2 linked regions of the Oryzias latipes genome follow. The protein of the gene in region 2 purifies or fractionates together with the protein of the main gene of each other region. This does not show direct contact. Links are inferred from orthologs where the notes say so. Each region holds a gene or a part of one and is shown on either strand. Other genes may lie near its edges.

What was found.
Region 1: the proteins of dr1 (region 2) and histone acetyltransferase KAT2B purify together in Homo sapiens (affinity purification with mass spectrometry; 3 studies listed by BioGRID and IntAct, with this or other methods). This does not show direct contact. The link is inferred for Oryzias latipes from reciprocal best matches to the Homo sapiens genes DR1 and KAT2B.

The regions. Positions count from the first base shown.
Region 1 is NC_019869.2:22,460,051-22,470,565, forward strand, and holds the start of histone acetyltransferase KAT2B, read right to left. Parts: upstream 5,884-10,515; 5' UTR 5,757-5,883; coding exon 5,556-5,756; intron 4,123-5,555; exon of another isoform or gene 3,472-4,122; intron 3,398-3,471; coding exon 3,271-3,397; intron 3,196-3,270; coding exon 3,050-3,195; intron 2,971-3,049; coding exon 2,884-2,970; intron 2,799-2,883; coding exon 2,617-2,798; intron 1,962-2,616; coding exon 1,770-1,961; intron 1,393-1,769; coding exon 1,289-1,392; intron 1,191-1,288; coding exon 1,065-1,190; intron 939-1,064; coding exon 799-938; intron 729-798; coding exon 520-728; intron 429-519; coding exon 302-428; intron 229-301; coding exon 118-228; intron 1-117. Other genes in the region: ras-related protein Rab-5A, read right to left, coding at 8,046-8,161, 8,507-8,600, 8,720-8,842, 9,213-9,364, 9,514-9,735. UniProt on the Homo sapiens protein: Functions as a histone acetyltransferase (HAT) to promote transcriptional activation. Has significant histone acetyltransferase activity with core histones (H3 and H4), and also with nucleosome core particles.
Region 2 is NC_019862.2:24,025,108-24,035,684, forward strand, and holds dr1 (protein Dr1), read right to left. Parts: upstream 6,543-10,577; 5' UTR 5,925-6,542; coding exon 5,705-5,924; intron 5,535-5,704; coding exon 5,371-5,534; intron 4,144-5,370; coding exon 3,997-4,143; 3' UTR 2,872-3,996; downstream 1-2,871. Other genes in the region: zinc finger protein 239-like, read left to right, coding at 1-112; retinol dehydrogenase 8-like, read right to left, coding at 8,051-8,284, 8,403-8,586, 8,977-9,070, 9,142-9,321, 9,476-9,637. UniProt on the Homo sapiens protein: The association of the DR1/DRAP1 heterodimer with TBP results in a functional repression of both activated and basal transcription of class II genes.

The sequences.
Region 1 (10,515 bases), on a different chromosome or scaffold from region 2:
TTCAAACACAATGGCTTGAAATGATACTCTCCTGTAAGGAAGCCAATGTGACTGGGTGTCCAGAAAGTCCCTGAAAAGTTGCACAACATCTCTCTACGTCTAGAAACAACAGTATACCTGTTTCTTAAAGTACCCGATGGCGTACTCGTCGGCATACGTGAGGAAGTTGAGAATTTCATGCTTAATGTGGTATTCCTTCAGGTGGTTCATCAGGTGGGTTCCGTAGCCCTGCAGCCAAACAGCGACAGGTAAAAAGTGCATCCAAGCACAAGCAGAGCTGGGAAACCGAGTGTCTTCTCACTTTAACTTGTTCGTTAGATGTGACCGCACAAAAGACGATCTCTGTGAAACCCTGCGACGGAAACATCCGGAAGCAGATTCCTCCAATCACACGCCCGTCCTTGATTAATGACAGCGTCTTGTGCTTCCTGCGGGACCAAAACGTTTCAAATGGCTGTTATTTAATTCACTCAGAAGGGTCTTGCAGCAGTTCGGAGTCGAGAACAGACGTGGACTCACGGGTCAAACACCAGCCGTGTGATGTACTCTTTGGGCATGCGGGGCAGCTGGTGCGAGAACACATTCTGAAGCCCCACCAGCCACATCAAGATCCTTTTGTTGGGCTTTTGGTTCAGCGAGTTCCCGATGACGTGGAACTCAATCACTCCTCGCCGCTCCTCAAGGCGCGCAGCTTCGTCACGAGCCGAATGAGCAGACAGTAGACTTGTCTGAAAGAAAAAAAAAAAGCATAAAGCAGTGGAAATGGTTGAATTGATATTACACATCCTTCAAAGCTACCTCTGGAATGGTGGCAGGGTCGGTGATGGTCGCCATGACTTCGTTGATGAGATCCATGGGGATGTCACCCATCACCCGTGGTCTTTTGTTTTCTTCGTGGTGAAGGGGTTCAGAGGCTTTGCGTTTTTCTCCCACTACGACTAAATCCAGACAATGCAAGAAGGTATTTTAGTCACATAGTGCAAATCAAGCATATAAAATGAACCTGTCGAAAATGGACCCTGAGCTGCCTTTCCAATTTCTTTGCACAAATCCTGGGTTCCCACCTGGGTTCGACTCCAAAGTAGGGTTGGGTTTCCTGGCAGGACTGACGCTTCCGCATGTGGATGGCTCCACCGAAACCGGACTGGCGCTGTAGTACAGTGACCTCGTCACTGGGGGTGCGCTGATCACTGGGGAAGATAGACGGAAATAGAAAAGGATTCAACCACAGGAGCTTGGAATACCAAAAACTAGGAAAAAATCGTTGGGTATAGGTAGTTTTTTCTACCAGTCTGAACGGGAATCTGCCCGCCTGTAGTTCCTGCCAAAAACTCCAGACTCCAGATAGGAGAGCTGTGACTGTACACCTCCTCCTCCAACATCGACAAGAACCTAGAAGAAGAAATCAAGCGTGACTTAAACATGTAACTGCATTATTTATCAATAAAGCCAGGATTTTATCATCGGTTTTTGTGCGTCTGTGACGCACATAACGCTATAAGTTAGTTTTGCAATGAAAGTTTGAAATTGATTCAATCTTATGAAAATGTAATAATCACTCTGTGACTTTGAGTGGAATGGGTTCATAAGAATGTGTTTTTTATATTTCTAAAATATTCCTGGTCCCTGTTGTGAGTTATTTTCAAATTCTAGTTCCTTTAGTTTTAGTTTATTAGCTGGAATTTGAATTACTGTGATTTTTAACAGACAGTTCTTAATAGTTTCTTTGAAAACTTGTTCAGTTTGTCTGAATGCGGCTGCTGTCTTACTTTGGAAAGTGTGTCAGAATGAGCGTGCGCTTCTCTGGGGGCAGCTTGTCCTTCTCCTGCCTGGCCTGCTCCAGCAGCTGCTTCCTCATGATGGTGAACACAGAACGCAACAGCGTCCGACCGAAGATCTGGGTGGTTTCGTACCGCGGCAGGCTGTCGCAGAACTGGGGCACATTGCAGTAGCACAGCCACCTGAGAAAGGGGGACCCCTTACTTTTTGGATCTCTGTGGTTTGACCATTGACTGTATCAAAGAACTGGACTGAGTGACACCCCCCTCCCCGTGTTCCAAACAGGAAGTACTCACTGGCTCCAAGAAAACATAATCCCATAGACTCCTATTGAGAAAAAAAAAGCTGTTACTCATTCTATTTGTCAGAATAACCATTCTTGCTCGGCTACTTTTTATAAACATTTTATAAACACTTTCTCGTTCTCATTTTTTTCACATTGTTTCTGTTAGGAAAGTTATTCAAGTTATGAACAGATTGATTGTTCTTTGCGTGTTTTTTTTTTGTACTTCTTCCACGGTTTTAACGTGGTTCATTCTTGATAGATCTGTGAACATTTTGCGTAAAGACCACTACTTTTCTCCCCTTTTCCACACATATTCATATATGACCAATTTTCACATGTGTAATAAGCGTCACACGGCCTTTACCAACGTCGTCTGGGTCCAACATGGCAATGTCCGTATTGCGACTGAATGATGACAGAATTCACTGCATTTGGTTGGAGCCAGAACTCATTTTTTATGGGTGACATCACACTCACTCGGTCCAGTTCTCGTATACATTCAGTGGGTTTGACTGAAACCTGCGCGGGACAGATGGGTTCATGGTCGGTACCTGGTGTAGTTGACTTTGTATCCCGCCGTTTCCTCGTTCGGAACCCTCTGGCGCCTTTGAGACGGTGTTTCCAGCTGCCAGTAGTTGATTTGGTTAAGAAACATCTTCGCCAGCTCCATGATGGTTTGACGCTCTTTTGATGGTAGATGGCTAAATTTGTACTGGACAAAGTTGTTCACTCCCTATTGAATTAAAATTTAAAATAAAAAAAGAAATGAATCTTACAATTTAGTTAAAAAAAACCCCACCAGGATTTCTTTAATTCACCTGTTCAATGCTGGGTTTTTCAAAAGGAGGACTCTCTTGTGCTTCCAACATCGGTTTACCCATCTGCAAGATGGATTTCCTTAAAAGCTGAAAGGCAAGCCGCCGTTGGTGAGTGAGGTAACAGTGTTTATGAAAAAAGAAAAAAATGGTGACGCTAGAAATGTACCTTAAACAGTGAAAAGTAGACTTGTTTAGTGTCAGCATCCTCCTCTTTGTGGACACACGTGTACAGGTATTCCACGTCCAGGACGACACCTAGGAGTCGGTTCATTTCCTCTTCCGATATATTTTCTAGATGGCTCACGTGATCGCCTGTGAGGTGACAGAGGCTGGAATCTTCCAAGATCTGAAGGAGGATTATTGCAGGCAACTGGAAATACAACATACCCAGAGTGTGGGAGCAGCTGCGGCAGGGCTCCTGTAGGTTCACTGTGTTGGTCTGCTGGTCGGTTTGGGGGGGTGTGGGAGGGGGGTTCTGGCTTTTCCAGCCATTACATTTACAGGGCCCCTCAGCCTATAAGGAAAAACATTAAAATTGTTATATCTTTTTTATTTCATTTTTAAATATACAATCATAAACAAAGTTACCTATTTTATTTAGTTTTGATGATACCAATAATGAGCTATGTATGCTTTAGGTAAAGACTAGAAGATGGGACATTCCAAAAGAGGGCCTACCACCGCAACTGTTGGCGACCCCGTCTTCTGTCTTTAATCAACACTTTTTCCAAAACGGCTTTGTAATTTTGCCAGAATGATTAAATCGATACAATTGCCAATGTTCATCTCCTCCTCCCATTGGAATTATTTGAAGACCAACTCCGATTATTTTTGATAAATTATAAAAGCGTTCCCAGTTACGATTTTAGGCAAAATTTTAAAAAACGGGTCATTTTCTAGGCAGAAAACATTGGCGTGTAGCAACCCCACCTCCCTTCCCCTCCCCTTTGTTGAGAGTTCTCCGTTTACACTGTCTCCCACTAGCTCACAGCCCCTCACAACCCAGAGTTAACGTTAACAGTGCAACAAAAATGTCAAGCAATATCAGAACTATCCTTCTGAAGAGTTTTGTGCCAGACGCTAGCTCGGATAAAGAAAACGAAGATGTACAAGTCGTCTACAAATGGATGCATCAGAATGGGGGGGAGATCACGGAGCATTTCGCCCGCACAGTGTAATTTCTACATCCCAACTAAAACCTTTTTCAGACTGCATTCTTTCGTCTGCTCTTGATTCACAATGATTTGAATAAAGACTTAGAAATGCAATTTCTAACTTAATTTTCTTTATGTTTGTCTTTTTTTCATGAAAAATGTCTGGAGAACATATTAGAAAGACAAAAAATACATATTTTCATCGCGTGGTTCTTCCTAAATTCAGTTCCTGATCTCAACCTTTAGGGGGCAGTAGTCACAAACATTTTTTTGTATTAGCACGCGCCAAATAAGATTCCACTAAAATTATCTCCAGCAACAAATACGTCCCTATTTGTAAAATAAATAAACTTTTTTGCTTTTCTAATTTAATAAGTAGCATGGGTTTTGAATACTCTTTTTAGTCTCAATTGTATCAACGTTTTTTTGAGCCACAATTCAAAGTGATATGCAATTCTCAATTAAAAATTCAATTTGCAATATGATTATACGATTTAACCCTTGTGCTATATTAGATGACCCCACCCTTACATTGACGTGTTCTTCCTACCATGACAAAGGTGGATAAAGGTGGAAAGATTTCATGTAATCCATGGACACCAGTGAAGATCACAAATCATTGAAGAAAAAAGGTTCAGAGCACTGTCTAGTGGGTCTAGATGACCCAACTCCCAACGTTACAGTGCCTAGGATAGCACAAGGGTTACAAATGCATTTTTTCAATATTTTATTTTTAAAATTGTCATATTGAAATATAAATTTAGATATTGAATCCTAATTTTCAAAATGTGTTTTCGTTTTCCAAGCCTGAAATGTCAATTCACAATTAAATTTTACTCTAATCATGACTTAAAATGCCTCCATACAATTGAGACAGATTTCCGGAGGCGACATTTTGGGGGAGGAGCAGGACTGACACCGCTGTCAGTTGGCTACGCTGTTCTGCGCACGCGCTTGGAACTACAACAAACTCCGCCCACCGCAGCAGCTGTCACCCTGTCAAAACAAAGACCCCTTCCCTCTCTGCGGATCACCCGCCGCACAAGCCCAATAACCTGCTCCGTGCTTCCCCCCGCGCTCCGTTAAACGCCTCGGGCAAGCGTGGAAAAATTCCTGTAGTGGCATAAGCGCGCACGTGACCACAAACAGAAATTTTTTTTTTTATTATTTTTACCTCCGTTAGCTTGTTACTCCTAAACAGCGCGAGGCGACCCCCTCTTTGACACACAGTCACACTATAAACGCTTTCCGGGGGGAAGGCACTACTTTAAGAGTCCTAGTGTGAACTAAAACAAGCGTCACGCGCGCCGCAGTTTTAAAGACTCCCCTCTCGGTTGTGTACGGAGGACAAAAATGAAGAGGGGAGAAAAAGTGGGGCAATGGCTTCCTCTGCTGGGTTTGCATATGATAATGCGATACTGAACTATTGCAACCTAACCTCAGAGGAAAATCCTCCAAGACCAACGCGCACTACAAACTTCACTGTTCCGGCAGTCCGTCCACTGCGGGAGTGCATACTTTGCATGACGAATAAATTCCGAGTTTTTCCAGTTTCTTCGGCCGAGGCGAGGAGCGGAGTTGCGCCTTCTTCGCGACGATACGTGCGGATCCTCCAGCGGCGCCGGAGCCTTCCGTTCCCCCGGCACCGGGGGCGGCTGGGACAAGGCCGGCGGCTCCGATGGCCGGCGAGCCTTGTTGAATTCCAGCGCTGTCGGCCATTATCCCCCACAAAAAACCCAGAAGGCCCGGGGAAAGCTCGCAGCGCCGTCCGCTCTATTCCACAAGCAGAGAATCAGACATGGCGCTCATCCTTATTTTCAATTTCTCGCTGTGGGGCCGATTTCCTCCACTAGGGGGCGCAGCGCTGATCCTCTGACTTGCACACATTTCAGAGAGGTCACAAAATGCAGGCAAAGAATTTCAAGGTCATTTGTCCATAATTTTAGCACATTTTCAGACAATAAAGCAATGAAGCATAAATAAAAGTAAAAAAACACCGAAAAAATAAAAAAAATGTCAAAGTAAAGTGACATGAGGTGTATATACACAAAAAAGTCGTACCACAATGACAAATGATCACATTTATTTCAGTATTGATTTGGTCATTACATAACAGTGCTGTCAAACACTTGCATTTTAGACTATCCTTTAATGCAAATAAGTATTTTCACACAAAAAAATGCCATCTTTAAGTGGTTTTGGAATAAAATAACATTTAAAAAAATCCAGTATGGTCACAAATCGCTCCAGGCCAGTGGATTTTCATCCTTCTGAATGTGATATCTGATTGTGGTGCGTATCGAAATTCCTCTCTACACACAGGGAAAAGAACAAGGCATCATTGTCTCTGTACACACACACACGCTCACACAACACACGCAACACACAAAAGTTCAGATAAACATTTTTTTATTTGGAGAAATGGATTCTAAATAAATGCTATTTTTTTGTTAATATCACTACATACATAAAGACCACCACTGTTTATTATGCATCCTTGTGTGTGGGAAAAAAAAAGGTCCAAACTGAGAATGTAGCCATTTTTTTTAAACTACACTTTTTGTCTTCTCCTTGATTATCTAAACAACTCCCTAGCAAGCAGTAGTTGGTAAAATGAAAAGAAAAAGGGTAGACTACACTGCAACATGATATTTACAGTAAATTATTTATATATTTATATTATGTATATATTTATAATCACACCTGAAATTAGAGAAATTTTATGAGAATCATTAGTGCAAGACGTGAATAAAACCGATCTGTAACAAAAAAAAAAACAACAAAAAAAGACTGAAGTCTTAATGCCGCGGGTGTTTATGTGACAATGTGTAGGAAACGGACCAATAAGGTGTAACAGACAGAATATGAGCTGATCTAGAGCAGAAAAGAGCTCGGCGGAGAAAGTGAATCTGTTTTTGTTTTTATTGTGCAAATGTGAGTTCCAACGTGCACACACACACACACAAACGAGTGTGTTGTTTCATCTCCTTCTGAAATTCGTCACCGTTTCAGGCCCAGATTGCGGATAATGACACTAGTGTGTCTAAAGCACTTTTTTAAGATGTCAAATAATTATGATTCCAACATAATTACGAAGAATTCATACATATTGCAAAGCTCCGATCATCACTCTTTTTAACAAAAACCCTGCAACAACTGCGACAAATCCGTCAGACGATCCTGGACTTAAATCCCCCGTCTGAGCGCATGAGGGTCTATGATAAGACATAACACATCAGGTGTGGGTGAGTGAGGAAGGGGTTCCGCTGTGCAGCGCTGGTCCTGGCAGACGCTCACCTCAAGAGTAAATACTGCAAAACATTGCACAATGCCGCTATGGACAGGCTACAGGCAGGCACAGAGCCATGATGGAGCCCAGAGGTGTGGAGAGGGGAGAAGAAAAAAATAAATAGAGTGAATTTAGTGGAAGTGAAGGATACGGACAGGGTCAGTGAAGGGAATCAGATTTTAAAAAAGCCTTTTGTTTCTATCCGTTAAAGTAAAAAGGGTCGAGAGGGAGCACAGAGTTCCACCACCTCCCCTCTCAGATTCAGAATTCTTCTCCAACAGACTTTGTTAGAACACATTTGTCTCTTTTGACTTACCCAGATGGGAATTCATCATTTCCACAAATCTAAACAATGATTAACGTATTAATAAAAACAAAACAGCAGTTAGGCTTTAAGCTATTCCAGTAAAAGGGATTCCTCCACCAACAACTCTCATCTGCTTAAGCAACAGGGACGCCTGCTTCTGTTCTCAATCCATCAATTCTACTTGATGGACGAGTTGGTGGCATAAAAGTAAGACAAAGTGGTTAGGAGGCTTCATCGGGTCACGGTACAGAAAAAGTCGAAGAGAAGGGGGGGGGCAGGATGGAGGGGTTAATTGGGCGCAGGATATCTTTTCTGGCTTCAAACAATGACTGACACATTGTTTTAGTAGCTTCGGTGGCACGAGCCACATCAGTAACTAGTATGCAGGTGTTGGAAAACTGTGTTCTTCCTGTTAGTTGGAGCAGCATGGAGCCTTGGCCGGCTGGGCGGCTTCTGTCAGGTCCACTCCACGGTTCCGCCCGCTGGTGGCTCCTGGAGCCTGAGGCTCACTCTTCGGCAATCTCTTTGCTAAAGAATAAAAAGTCACAAAAATGTGAAAAAAAAAATACTTCTTTTAAAAGTTGTTTACAAATAAACTATTTTATTTCATTAAAAAATAGTGACGTAGAACCAGCCGACATTGGATTATGCAGTGGATTATCTCCCTGCAGTGACTCATGTCTGGCGGATTTGATGAAGCCATGATATTCGTCAACGCTCTATTATTGCTCAATTGAAGAATTGACTTGTGATCACAAGTCTCAGTAACACACCCACTGTGCAAGCACTTCTATGCAAGAGAATACAAACATGCGATCGACCACAATGTCTCCTATTACAATAGAAAAACATGAATTCATTTGAATTACCCACCAATTGCCATAAATATCTCATTGACATTCATCGATGTCTTGGCTGAGGTCTCCATAAACAGCAAGCTGTTGTCGTCTGCGTAAGACTGGGCGTCCTGTTGAAACAACACGGAGAATCCACTGAAGCTAAACATCCAGCAAGCGTTCCGGCTGTCAATGTATTTAAGCATCCGTGGGATTTAAATAGAACTAAATATGGCGTGTTCTTGCTCACCTGAAATTCGACAGCTCTCTTGTTAGCCAAGTCCGCCTTGTTGCCCGCCAGAGCGATGACTATATTGGGGCTAGCTTGTCTCTGTAGCTCCTTCACCCAGTTCTTTGCTCGTGCGAAGGACTCCTACGAAAAGGCATGTTAGCTAAACTTTCACTTGGGCCAATTCTTGAGGGGAAAATAAACATGAACCTGAAGCTAACATTACACTCTCTTTGAAGTACCGTAACTCTACGATCATTTTTCTCCTCATCAGAAACCTTTTTTTTATGTTAACTACGTCAATCAAGACTTACTACTGTAAAGAGTGCTTTTCTCCTCGTCCCAATCAGTTGGTTTACGTTATTTATTTCAAAACGTCACTACTGTAAAGTTCCAGAATCCGTTCATTTATGTTAATTGCGTAAACAGTTGAATAGTTACGGGAAGTCAAAGAAGGCCAACACTGGAGCTAAAGCTCCATAGTTCCAGCGCTTTCTGCGCGACATGAACGTGCCTCGTTTGTGATGTCGTAGACCACAATGGCTGCTTGTGCTCCTCTGTAATACATGGGTGCCAAACTGTGGTATCGCTCCTGACCAGCTGTGTCCCAGATTTCAAATTTCACCGTCGTGTCATCTAAACAGACTGTCTGGGTGAGGAAGGCCGCTGGCGATGGAAATGAGGCGAGTGGGTTAGTCAAAAACCACAGGCTTAGCACAAACTGTCATCCTATTGTAAACAGGACTCAAATGCAGTTAAAAGTACCGGATCACAACAATCAAAGTCCTAAACTGAACATACAGCATGCAGCTCACCTCCTATCGTGCTTTCCTGGAATTCATGGAACTGTCCTTTGACAAAACGAAGCACCAAACTGGACTTCCCCACAGCAGACTCCCCCAGCAGCACCAGCTTGAACTGGCAGATCTTGTTGCCTGCGTTGGGTCCATTGGGTCTTGTAGCTCCTCCTCGATTGGCCATGACCTGATCAGATCCTCTGGACTCCTGAGCGCCAAACTTCACCCTCTTGACTTCAGCTGAAAGAAAGAAAAAAAAGTAGAGCAAAAAACAAAGCAAAAAAACAAAACAAAAACATAATATTTCCCAAACATATTTACGACTAAACAAAACCAGTTGATATTAGTGCGGCCATCACTGAATACCAAAGTGAGACCGGAGCGCCATCTTTTGAGGAACAACTCATTGATTTGTTGGCTTTCTAGTTTATGTTTAAACTGACAGAATCTTCCCTGATATGACAGACCTTAATATGAGAGCGTCTGAATAACTGTGTTTTAAGTTTACACTCCATAAAAAGGCTTACATTCGAGTCAAAAACAGGACAAAACCACTGATTTGTTCCAGAGATGTTGCTGACAAGTTTCTTTCTTAAGGTAGTGAAAGCAAGTAAGCAAGAAAAAAAAAAGGTTAAAAAGCCAGGATTTCTGGATTCAAATCATTAAATTATAATAAAAACGAAACATTGGACCAAAAAATATTTTTAGAGAATGCTTTCCTTACTTGATCACTGGTTATTCAGTGGGTCTGTGGGTTAGTGTCACTAAAGCAGAAGCTGCTGAACAACCACATACCATGCATTGCTCTCAAAGTTATTTAGGGCTAAATAGTTTTTTTTCCTCTAGGAGATAATGACTTTGTTTATGTGACATTACATGGAAGAATGTCGTCCACAGCATAGTTTGGAGAATAATATACACTAAGCTGCATAAAAACTCAATTATGTGTGTCATTTCTAAAAGTCTGGTGATGATACCCACACCGAGAAGAATTAAGGTGGAGTACAAAAAAACTACACT
Region 2 (10,577 bases):
CACTCACACGCGGGAGAAGCCATTTTCATGCAAAACGTGTGGAAAGTGTTTCGGCTTCAGAAGCAGTTTGCTGCGCCACGTTAGAGTTCACACAAAAGAAAGCGCAAGCTGACTCCCAGGAAGTCTTTATTTCAGTTTCGCCCACACTCTGCATCCTAGGAGATATAATGTGTCACATGACGCTGCTAGAATGAATGGTTCTGCTACTTTTGGATTTTCAGCCCAAGTTTTCTTCCATAAACAAACTACTTTCCATGTTTGATTAAATAATGATCAAGAATCTCTTGTGTCAGTTATTCAGATGTACAGTGTGTTCCAAATTATTATGCAAAAGTATTTGAAGTGTCAAAAAGATCCAATTCTTTGCTTTTCAACTAAACCCATCTTTGGACCACTTAAATCAATCTCAGACACCTGTGATAATTAGTTTGCCAGGTGAATTCAATTAAAGGAAGGAGTACGAAAGAAGGATGTTCCACATCATAAAGCAGAGCAACATTTTCAAGAAGAAAGAAAAAGGATGAGACTAAAAAAAAAAAAAAAAAAAAGAACCTTTTAAGTGAGGCATCAATTTCAACATTCTGTCGGTATGAAAAGCAGATTTAGCCGTAAGTCATTCCAACTTCATCATTCAAACAGTCATGAACATACTGGGGGCAGCATCCCCTCCCATAGTGCCCCTTCAGGTTGGTAGTAGGCGGTCAGATGTTGCAGATGAACTTGGTGTCTCAAAGTGTCATCAGCAGGCTAACATCAAGTCACAGAACTACAAGTAGCTTGTGACAGACACAGGATTGGAGCCCCGCCAGTGACAGACCACAACCATGACCGGGACCGAAGGACCTCTGCACTCAGACATGGTTGGGTAAATGCCACACAACTGCAAGCCTGTGTAACCCGTGTGCTATCCTAGGCACTTTAACATTGGGAGTTGGGTCATCTAGACCCACTAGGCAGTCCTCTGAACCTTTTTTCTTCAATGATTTGTGATCTTCACTGGTGTCCATGGATTACATGAAATCTTTCCACCTTTATCCACCTTTGTCATGGTAGGGAGAAAACGTCAATGTAAGGGTGGGGTCATCTAAGATAGCACAAGGGTTAATAAGACTAGCACCATATTAATTATTGTTTACATGTTTGTTCGTTCACATATTTAATGTACTCTTAATTATCTTGCAAGGAATGTGGAGAGCTTCCCCTGCATTGGGCGGCCGTGGTGCAGCGGTAGGGCGGTCGACCCATGATCGTAAGATTGCAGGCTCGATTCCCGCCTTGCACGCCCATGTGTCGAAGTGTCCTTGGGCAAGACACTGAACCCCACCTTGCCTCTGGTGGGAGGTTGGCGCCAGTGTTCGGCAGCGGAGCCGCCATCAGTGTGTGAATGTGTGTGTGCATGGGTGAATGGGACTGTGACTGTAAAGCGCTTTGGGCCTTTGAAAGAGGGTAGAAAGCGCCATATAAGTATACGCCATTTACCATTACCATTTACCACTGTTCAGTACGCAAGTTTTTATCTCTGAGTCACGCTGGTTGATTCTGGGTCAGGGAATCGGATTATTCAAAATGAACGAATATTGACCATGAATTGTATGGTCAACTAGAAATTGTGATATGAATCGAATCATTGTTAAAACAAATCATTACTCCCCTATCACTAACTGATGTTCCTTTACATTGTCAAATGAGGGCAGTGTTTCCCTTTCTGACCAAATATGGAGTAAGAAGATCCAGCTCAGGCTGCACTGTGGAACAGTGGTTAGCACTCTTGCCTCATGGCAAGAAGGCTCTGGCTTGAATCCCAGCTGGATCCTTTATGTGTGTAGTTAGCATATTCCCCTCATGCATGTATGGGTTTTCTCCGTGCAGTCCAGCTTCCTCCCACAGTCCAAAAACATGCTTCATAGGTTATTTGATTACTCTAAATGTTAACCCTAGGTTCTAGGATGTTTCTGAGGTAAAAACATGCAATGACTGGACCACCTACAATAACCAAATTGATATTGCACTGACTGGTGATGCCTGCTTAACCCTTGCGCTATCTTAGATGACCCCACCCTTACATTGACGTGTTCTCCCAACCATGACAAAGGTGGATAAAGGTTGAAAGATTTCATGTAATCCATGGACACCAGTGAAGATCACAAATCATTAAAGAAAAAAGATTTAGCGCACTGTATAGTGGGTCTACATGACCCAACTCCCAATGTTAAAGTGCCTAGGATAGCACAAGGGTTACAGGTGCAATTGCATAAGGCTCCATAAACTTTAGCAGCAAAAAAACAGCCTATGGTGGCCTCCACAGCAGAATAAACAGCTGTCATTCACTCTACAGTAAATGTTGCAATAGAAACATTTTATTTCATTAGTAAAGGTCAGGTTTGAGAGTAAAACTGTTTTTCGCTTTCATGGATTTTTGAAAAGCATGCCGGGATCAAGTGACGTAAATAGTATATGAGGGTAATTTACATAGCGGTTTGCTACCTTCTAAGAAGCCCTTTACAGTCAGAGACCCATTCACAAACTGATAGCAGCTCTGCTGCTGAACTCTGGCGCCAACATATAACCTCCGGGGAGCAATGTGGGTTTCAGTGGTGACAAGGACACTTCAACACATCGCCAAGCAGAGCGGAAACTGAACCAGCGACCTTCCACTCATATGTCGACCACTCTACCACTCCACATTTTGTTTCCACAAAATGCATTAAGCTCAAAATCAAGATTTAACCTAATTATTGAGCAGTAGTTTAATTTAGTCTATACTTCAGAAACATTGTTTTTGATCACAGTTCTGCCACTTTTAGTTGATAGAAATATACTAATGTAGTAGTTTATTTTTATTTTGTTATTTTTTTCCTAGGAAGCATGAAGCAGAATGTACTTTGCTTTATTATACAAAGGTCATAGAAAAAGATACCATAATAATGTAAGCAAGCAGAACAGTACATCTTAGAAGATTAAAAAAAAAAAAGTCTATAAAAAATTATTTTATTGTTGAAAGAATACATTTCTGTAGAACAGACAATAAATGCATATCACAATAAGGTGGTTGGTTTTTTCCAAAGATGTCCCAAATTCCTGATGGAAATATATTATGTTGTAAAAGAACTAGAATGGAAACTGCAATGTAAGCCTAGACACCCAAGTGCCTCACAGAGATTCAAGTTTATTGTCTTTGACATGGTTTTTAGAAGATCTTGACTAAGCAGCACCTACATCTAAAAAAGGAAAAGAAAACTACAAAAGTTAAATCCCCCATCTTTGGTTCTATGAAACAAAAATGTGTAGGTGCTGCTAATTATCAATACTGTGGGTGTTTAAAGGAAAAGAAGTGCCTGGATGATCTAAAAATTAAACAATAATGCCTTTTAAGTTCTCTATGTAGCAAACAGCAGTACATGGGCATTAGCGTCCTGCCATTAGCCTATGCTCTCTAAATCTAACCCTACACAGTACACAGGCAGACGCTGATGCACAGATACCAACACACATGCTGCATGAATTCACTTTGACAAATAAACCGAGAAGGGAGAAAGATGCAGAAAGCAGATGCTTGGAAATTCCTGAACAGAAATTCTGAACATGTTTGAGCTCCAAGGATGAGTTGAACAGATCTTCTAATGCCGTATCAGAAGGAGCAAAGATCTGCTGTGAATTTATCTGTCACAAAGTCTGCTCTTTGAACGTGCTCTCAACACGTAAAGAAAAATCTATAAATTAACAATGAACATAAAAGTGAAAAAAAAAACCCAGGGGAATATAAATTTAATGAAAAACTTCGCAAACAGCCTTTCCATTTTTACCATTTTCCGGTAAAAACGCTTCTTTGAATGTGCATGTGGGGCCGTTTCTCCCCTCGCATCCCTTTCTTTAGCTTTCTAAATTTCAAGTACACAAACATGTTTTAAGTCCCTGTTCATGGCAAAACTGAGATTTGTGTACCAAAACTTTCCTAACGTTAAATTCAAACACAGTAAAGTGGGTCGCGGGGGGGGGTCACATTTCGTCCTCTTCGTCTTCATCCTGAGAAGAGCCCGCCTGCTGGGCAACGCTTGCAGATGCTGCTGCCATCTGTGCCTGCTGGGCAGCCTGCTGCATCTGCAGCCACTCCTGCTGTTCAAGCTCCGCCTGCTGCTGCCGCGCCTGCAGAAGACGCACATTCTATCATGAGTGCTTGACACAATGTGGCACTTCAGGTTTACCCATTCAAGCTCATGGCAACCTGCAGTGAGTCCGGCCGGTTACTGCAGAAATAATAGTTTTTGGTAATTTTTTAAATATATACCGTACATGTAACTTCTCAAAAAGGTTTATCTTGTGTTGTTGGATATTTATTAAATGAATATCAAATACAACGCAGCAAATCAAACAAAGCAATACATAGGAACAAAATGTTTTTTTTAAAGGAATGTGAACAAAATACATCTCTCTGACCTTAAAGACCCACTCAAATAAAAATCATGCTTTTGGTGTTTTTAACATGTTCTTGTAGCATTTTTCTAGCTTACAGCCCCTCAAACCCCCAACCTAACTTTACCAGTGCGACAAAAATGATAAGCAATATTGGATTTCCAGCTGTATAGCTGAGTCGGAAGCCTGTTAAGACGAGGAAAAAGACGTACATGGATGCATTTGTCTGCAAGAGGATGTATCAGAATGGAGCAGAGAGGGAAGCTTGTGGCCCGCCGATTGTAGCTTTTTCCACACAGCATTTTGTCGTTTGCTCCTGACTCAGAACTATTTGAATGAAGAAATGCTCAGAAATGTAATATGAAGCTTGTTTTTCTTATGATACGTCTTCCATCATCAGAAAAATGCCACAAGAAGATTTTAGAAAACACCAAAAACATGATATTTTATTTGAGTGGGTCTTTAAAGTAAAAAACCTTTAGCAAAAACACACCATGGCCTGTCAGTTAAAGCTGAAAGGGCCACATTAACTTACTTTGAATGAGCAGAGAGTGCTTTGTTTCAGGACAATCAGCATAACTCAAAGAGGAAGTTACATTCAGGTTGATTTAAATGTGTATGCCTATATGATATTTGAAATTGTTTTGTGTGTACATGTCTTCATTTCTACAATACTTGACAGGAAAAGATTTTTTTTCATCTTAAATACTTCCTCTATGAGCTTAGTTAAGTATTTTCTATTAAAACACCTAAATTTGTTTGCATCCAATCTTAAAGGGGATTGATATCCTTAAATGGAATGACCAGTTTAGAAACTTTTGAAAATGTTAACAAAACCAAGCCCTTCTGTACCTCAAATGAAAAGTACAAGTTGTGTGCCCGTGTTCATCATGATCTGTAGGTTAATATTATTGTGGGTGTTCAAGCCACATTTGAAGGTGCAGTTTTCTGAGATCAGACCTTGGCAAATAACTCCTGCTGCTGCCTCAAGAGTTCCTCCTCCGGAATGCCCAGGTTTTCCAGTCGAGAGCTGGCCTTCCTCCTCTTAAGAGCAACCGTTTTGCACTCCTGCAGCACGTCTTTCACCTCTGTGATGTACGAGCCGAAACCAAGGCTCTCGAGGGCTGTGGTGCAGAAACACGAGGTTGAAACTACACTTTCTATGATGTGAAGCTTGCAGGAGGATCCGTGCTCCTTTGCATCCCCCCCCCCCCCACACACACACACACACCCACCCACATAAAGGACGAGCGATATTTAAAGAGGTGGTAAATACATGTAAATGAGAACCAACCGTTAATGACATGCTCTGGAGATATGGTCTTCTTGTCGGATTTGTTACAGATCTCATTCGCCTCGGAGGAAATAAGATGGATGAACTCTGTGCAGCAATTGACCACAAGCTCCCTGGCATCGTTGGCCACCCGTACGTTAGGCAAAGTTTCTTTGATCATTTTGTTGATAGCTGCTCTCGGTATGGTGAGGTCGTCGTCATTTCCAGACGAGGAAGCCATAGTGATGAAAAAAGGGGGGAAAGGAACAGAATAGTGGAACTCCGCTTCTTCGAGAAGATTTATCACGCGTTCACTGTCTTCTCTATGTCCATGTTACAGTAGACAGATAACGGTTCAAGAAAATATCGATGGAAATGTTGCCAAGCGAGCTAGTCTAAGTTAGCCCACTGGCTAGCTTACCAACCAAATGTCAAACAATGAGCAGGTTCTGTTGCTTGAGCGGCGCTCCTATATCGTATTTAATCGGCGAATAAATGTCCAAGATTGCTCTGAAGCTTACAGTAAAAAAAGGGAGGGGGAAGAAAAATTATATCCTTATATCCGTCGTCCGTGGCGAAACTGAGACGCAGCACACAAGTCCAATGAAAGCGGAGAGCATGGCTAAGCTAAGCTAACAATTAAGCGCAGATGAAGCGGAGCTGTTTGCTTTACGAAGCGCAAGAATTATAGTCAGTTCTACTCGTAAATAATTGGAGTATTTATATGTAAGTCCTGAACTTGACCAAAATTTGATTGCAGATGTTTTGTTTAGGTTTATAATTTGGAGTTGTGTACTGTACAAACATTAGCTGAAATGTGTCCGGTTACGACGTCAGACAAAGGGCGTTTTTGATTGGCTCCGAGTGTGCGCTATAACAATTTCCGGTGCCCACCAGGATGGAGTCGGGTGGTACAACAAATGATTGGAAATTGTTCCGCAGGGAGCTACAGATGTAATTATCTTTTTTTTCTTTCGTTACAAAACCAAACTATTATCTCTGATTTTTCTAAGATTGCCTACTTTTGGAAATATATTTATTTTAAATGAAGAAAAAAAAAGTATGTATCTACAAATGCATTGTTTTTAGCAGTTGTAACATTAATATTAAGAATAATTTGATTCATATAATTTGTGGTTGCTGATATGATTCATAGTTAATTTTAGATCATAGTGAACCAGTAAATTTATTACGATTCACTGACCTTATTTTGATCCAGAACATCTTCAGCCAAATATTCAACCAATGTGGCTCAGAGATAAATACCTGGGTACTAACAGTGCAAGGTGAAGTTTTTCCACATTCCTTGTATTTCTTTCAAGATAATCAAGTGTAAATTAAATATGTGTACAAACAAGCCAGTAATCAAGTACCAATGTCAAATCCATTCACATTTTAGTTTCATAAAGTTTTGCCTACTGTTGTTTTTCCACATAAAAAATAATACAAATGGAACATTATCAGAACATTCTACCACACTGTTTGGTCACGTCTTTGCTAAATCAAAAGTGTTTTGCTGTCATCTCGTGTGTGTGTGTGTTGTCCACTGTGATGCACGTGGTCATTTTTAAGTTACAGTAAAATAAACCTACAATGCCTCAATCCAAATGGTATTTTTCAGTAAAGATTATAGTCAATTTAATTTTGAAATGATCTTATGGTATTTATCGATTTGATTAACAACTTGTCTCAGACTTTGATCTGGATAAATAAATTAATTAAGTGTTACATCCCTACTATTCTTTGTTTTATCTGACTTAGAGTTGCCCCGTTGCCATGTGTGAACATTTTGTTTTTAAGTTATATTTACACTTCCAAAAAGTGTAAATATACATTAAATCAAGTTCTACCTGTAGAACTTGATCTAATGTAATTTCTAAAGACAAACATTTCAAAATGCCAAACAGTAGTTTCTCTCACAATGATCTTTATTTAGTGGCATAGAAAAATTAATAAAGAAATAGAACTTCCTTTGAAATTATGATAAATATTGTTGTTAGTGTTAGTTAATTCGTTTAAATAATAATTTTGGATTTTTTAACAGAAGCTAGCCAGCTTATTGAGAGCAACAGAAAAATATAACTGGGAACAATTTTACAATAGATCAAAAGATGGTAGAAGTGGGATTTAAACATGTTTAAAGTGAATTTTAATTAACACAGTGGAATTCGCCACTGTGTTAACTGTTTAAGCAGTTCTCATGCATCAAAATTTACACACTTCTCAAACCTTTTTTATTTAAGATTGCCTTCAAATACATATACTCTCTCAATTCAAATACTACTTCTGTAGAAGGCTTTTCAAAATGTAATTTTAAATTCTGAACCACTGATGTATTTTGCATTTGAAATTAAAATCCTGAAACACTCAGTTCTTGTCTTTTTCCAGGGTGAAACTCTTGCGACTTCTCCAGCGCAGAAGTTTGAGGAAGTTAAGGCTAGCGTTGAAGACTTTGTCGTGCTCAAACACCATCTTGTAAAATGTGTCAATTGGAAGGTCACCATTGGGGTCGGCATATTTGAGTGTTGTCATGGGGGTGTAAAGTGTGTTTGTCTGATGGCGAAAAGGCGGGTTCTCCATGGTGATGATCTTTAGTGTGTGCTGAGAAGAAAACACACAGCAAAAAAATCAACAACACTAAAACAAAAGAGAACTTTGCTTCAGAATGTCAAAACACATGACATAACTGACACACGAGCATGTTTGGGGGGCTGTGTACCTCTGCGATGTCTTCAGCACTTTGTCCAAGGGTTTCAAAGATTTGCTTGTAGTTCTTCAGGTAGATGTTTGTGAACATATCAGCAGTTGGTTTGTCAGCTTTGCTGAGATCGATCTTCACACCTTCGTCATAGACCTTTCGTTCAAATTCTGTCAGCACCGGGCCTGGTTCAATCAAACTGATGCTAAAAACATAGTTCACAGTTTTAATTACAATTGCTTGGATTCTGGTAAAAAAAAAAAGGGGTTGAAATTTGGTTTTCTTTTGTAACTAGGCATTTTAAATTATGTGTAAACTGGAAACTGTTTTTTGTAATTTGGAAAGGGGTTTAGGAAAACCTGGTGTCTTGTCGTTTCACTGTTATACATATTTAGCAATATTTGCCTAGACAAAATTGATGATGTTTCTCTATTGGTAATAAAAAAAAACCTAACAATGGTCACTTAAAATTAACTAAAGAGCCCAACACAACCTCCATAGATATTAAAGGTGAACCCAAAGTACATCAATGTAAACAGTGTCTATTAAAAGACAGTTACTAACAATTTTGTCCTTGTGTGTTTGAGTATCTTACTTGAGATTAAATCTCAAGGCTTGTATAGCCAGGCTCTCACAAAAACCTTCCACTGCAAACTTGGATGCTGCGTAGACGTCGTTGAACAAAATCCCTAAAACAGAGAACATCACAGGTCAGAGAGTCACAGACAAATGATCAACTAGGCATTGCAGCCGTCCTCACCTTGAATGCCCATCACGCTGCTAATGACCACGATGTGGCCTTTCTTCCTTTTTTTCATGTCGGGTAGGATTTCCTTCAGCAATCGCACAAGTCCGAAGAAGTTTGTGTCCATGACCGTCTTCATCTCATCAATAGACTGACATTCAATGGGTCCGATCAGGCCCATCCCTGCATTGCTTACTTTTACCAGGAAATAAAAATGTGGGGGTCATGTTGACAAAGTGTGCTCAAAAGATGTTGCACGAAAAAGAACTTCAATAAGTCTGTTATGGTGCGTCATAACACTTATATCAAGACAATACTCATGTATGAAAGGAACCTAGAGTCGACATACTGAGGATGTCCACCCTGCGTTCTGGTAGGCTGTCAATACAATCTTTGATGGAATCCTCATCACAAACATCCAGCTTCTTGATCTCCAAGGTTCTGCCCAGTGTCCGACCAGCCGCATCTATCAGTGGCTTAGCCTTGTGCAGGTCCCTCATGGTTGCATAGACTGCAAGAGAAAAACATTCAGTGGAAGATGCAGTTTTTAGTTGCTGTGTCACTAAATAAAAGTAGTTTTATAATAAGCACAATGACCTCTGCTTGATTTTAGAGGCTCTTCAGGCATCTTTTGTCCTTAGAAAATTAACAGTCATTTTCAAAGACTTTGACCAAAACTTGTAACTATGATCTCTTTTTAAGCAGCAGAAGTATCCCCTAACCCCTGCTTGGTGTGCTAAGAAAGGTGTTCACCATTTTAGAATTGTTTTGTTTGGAGAAATTAAACCCAAATAATCTGTCCCACCTTGGAACCAGAAACCTAGTGTAAGCACAGTCCACTCCACATAGACTGAATTTGAAATAATCCTGGGTGGCTGTGGCTCACAGTTGCCTTTCAGAGAAAGGGTTGGTGATTCAATTCTTCAGTCACATTTCAGATTGTCCCATTTGACAAAACACTGATCCTTTAGATCCCTCAGGGGGGTCCAGAGCCATGGCTGGCCTCATTAGTGAGTTGTGGAGTAATCTTTACAACATTCAGAACCATCATGCCAAAGCCTGGAAGGACAAAGTGAAGGAAAGAACTCAACCACAGCTTGTATATAAGGATGGATGAAATGCATGTGACTTTATAAAAACACTTTCCAACAACAAAAACAAAAAAAACAATATCCTATAAGATAACAGAATAAGTATAAACCAAAGAGAAAACATTTGTCATCGTTAGTGGAATCTTTTTTAAAGGAAGCATTTTTACCCGTAATATTGGTTCTCTGTGAAGAGGGCGGGTAGGATCAAGAATTAAAAGATCGGAGGATCAGCTCATGTTAGATATTTTGGAGATAAATGCAGGGAATCAGATTGAGATGATCTGGAAATGCTCAGAGTGATTATGTAATAAATTAATACGGAGACAATAAAAGCAGAATTTTGATACAGCAACAGAATAT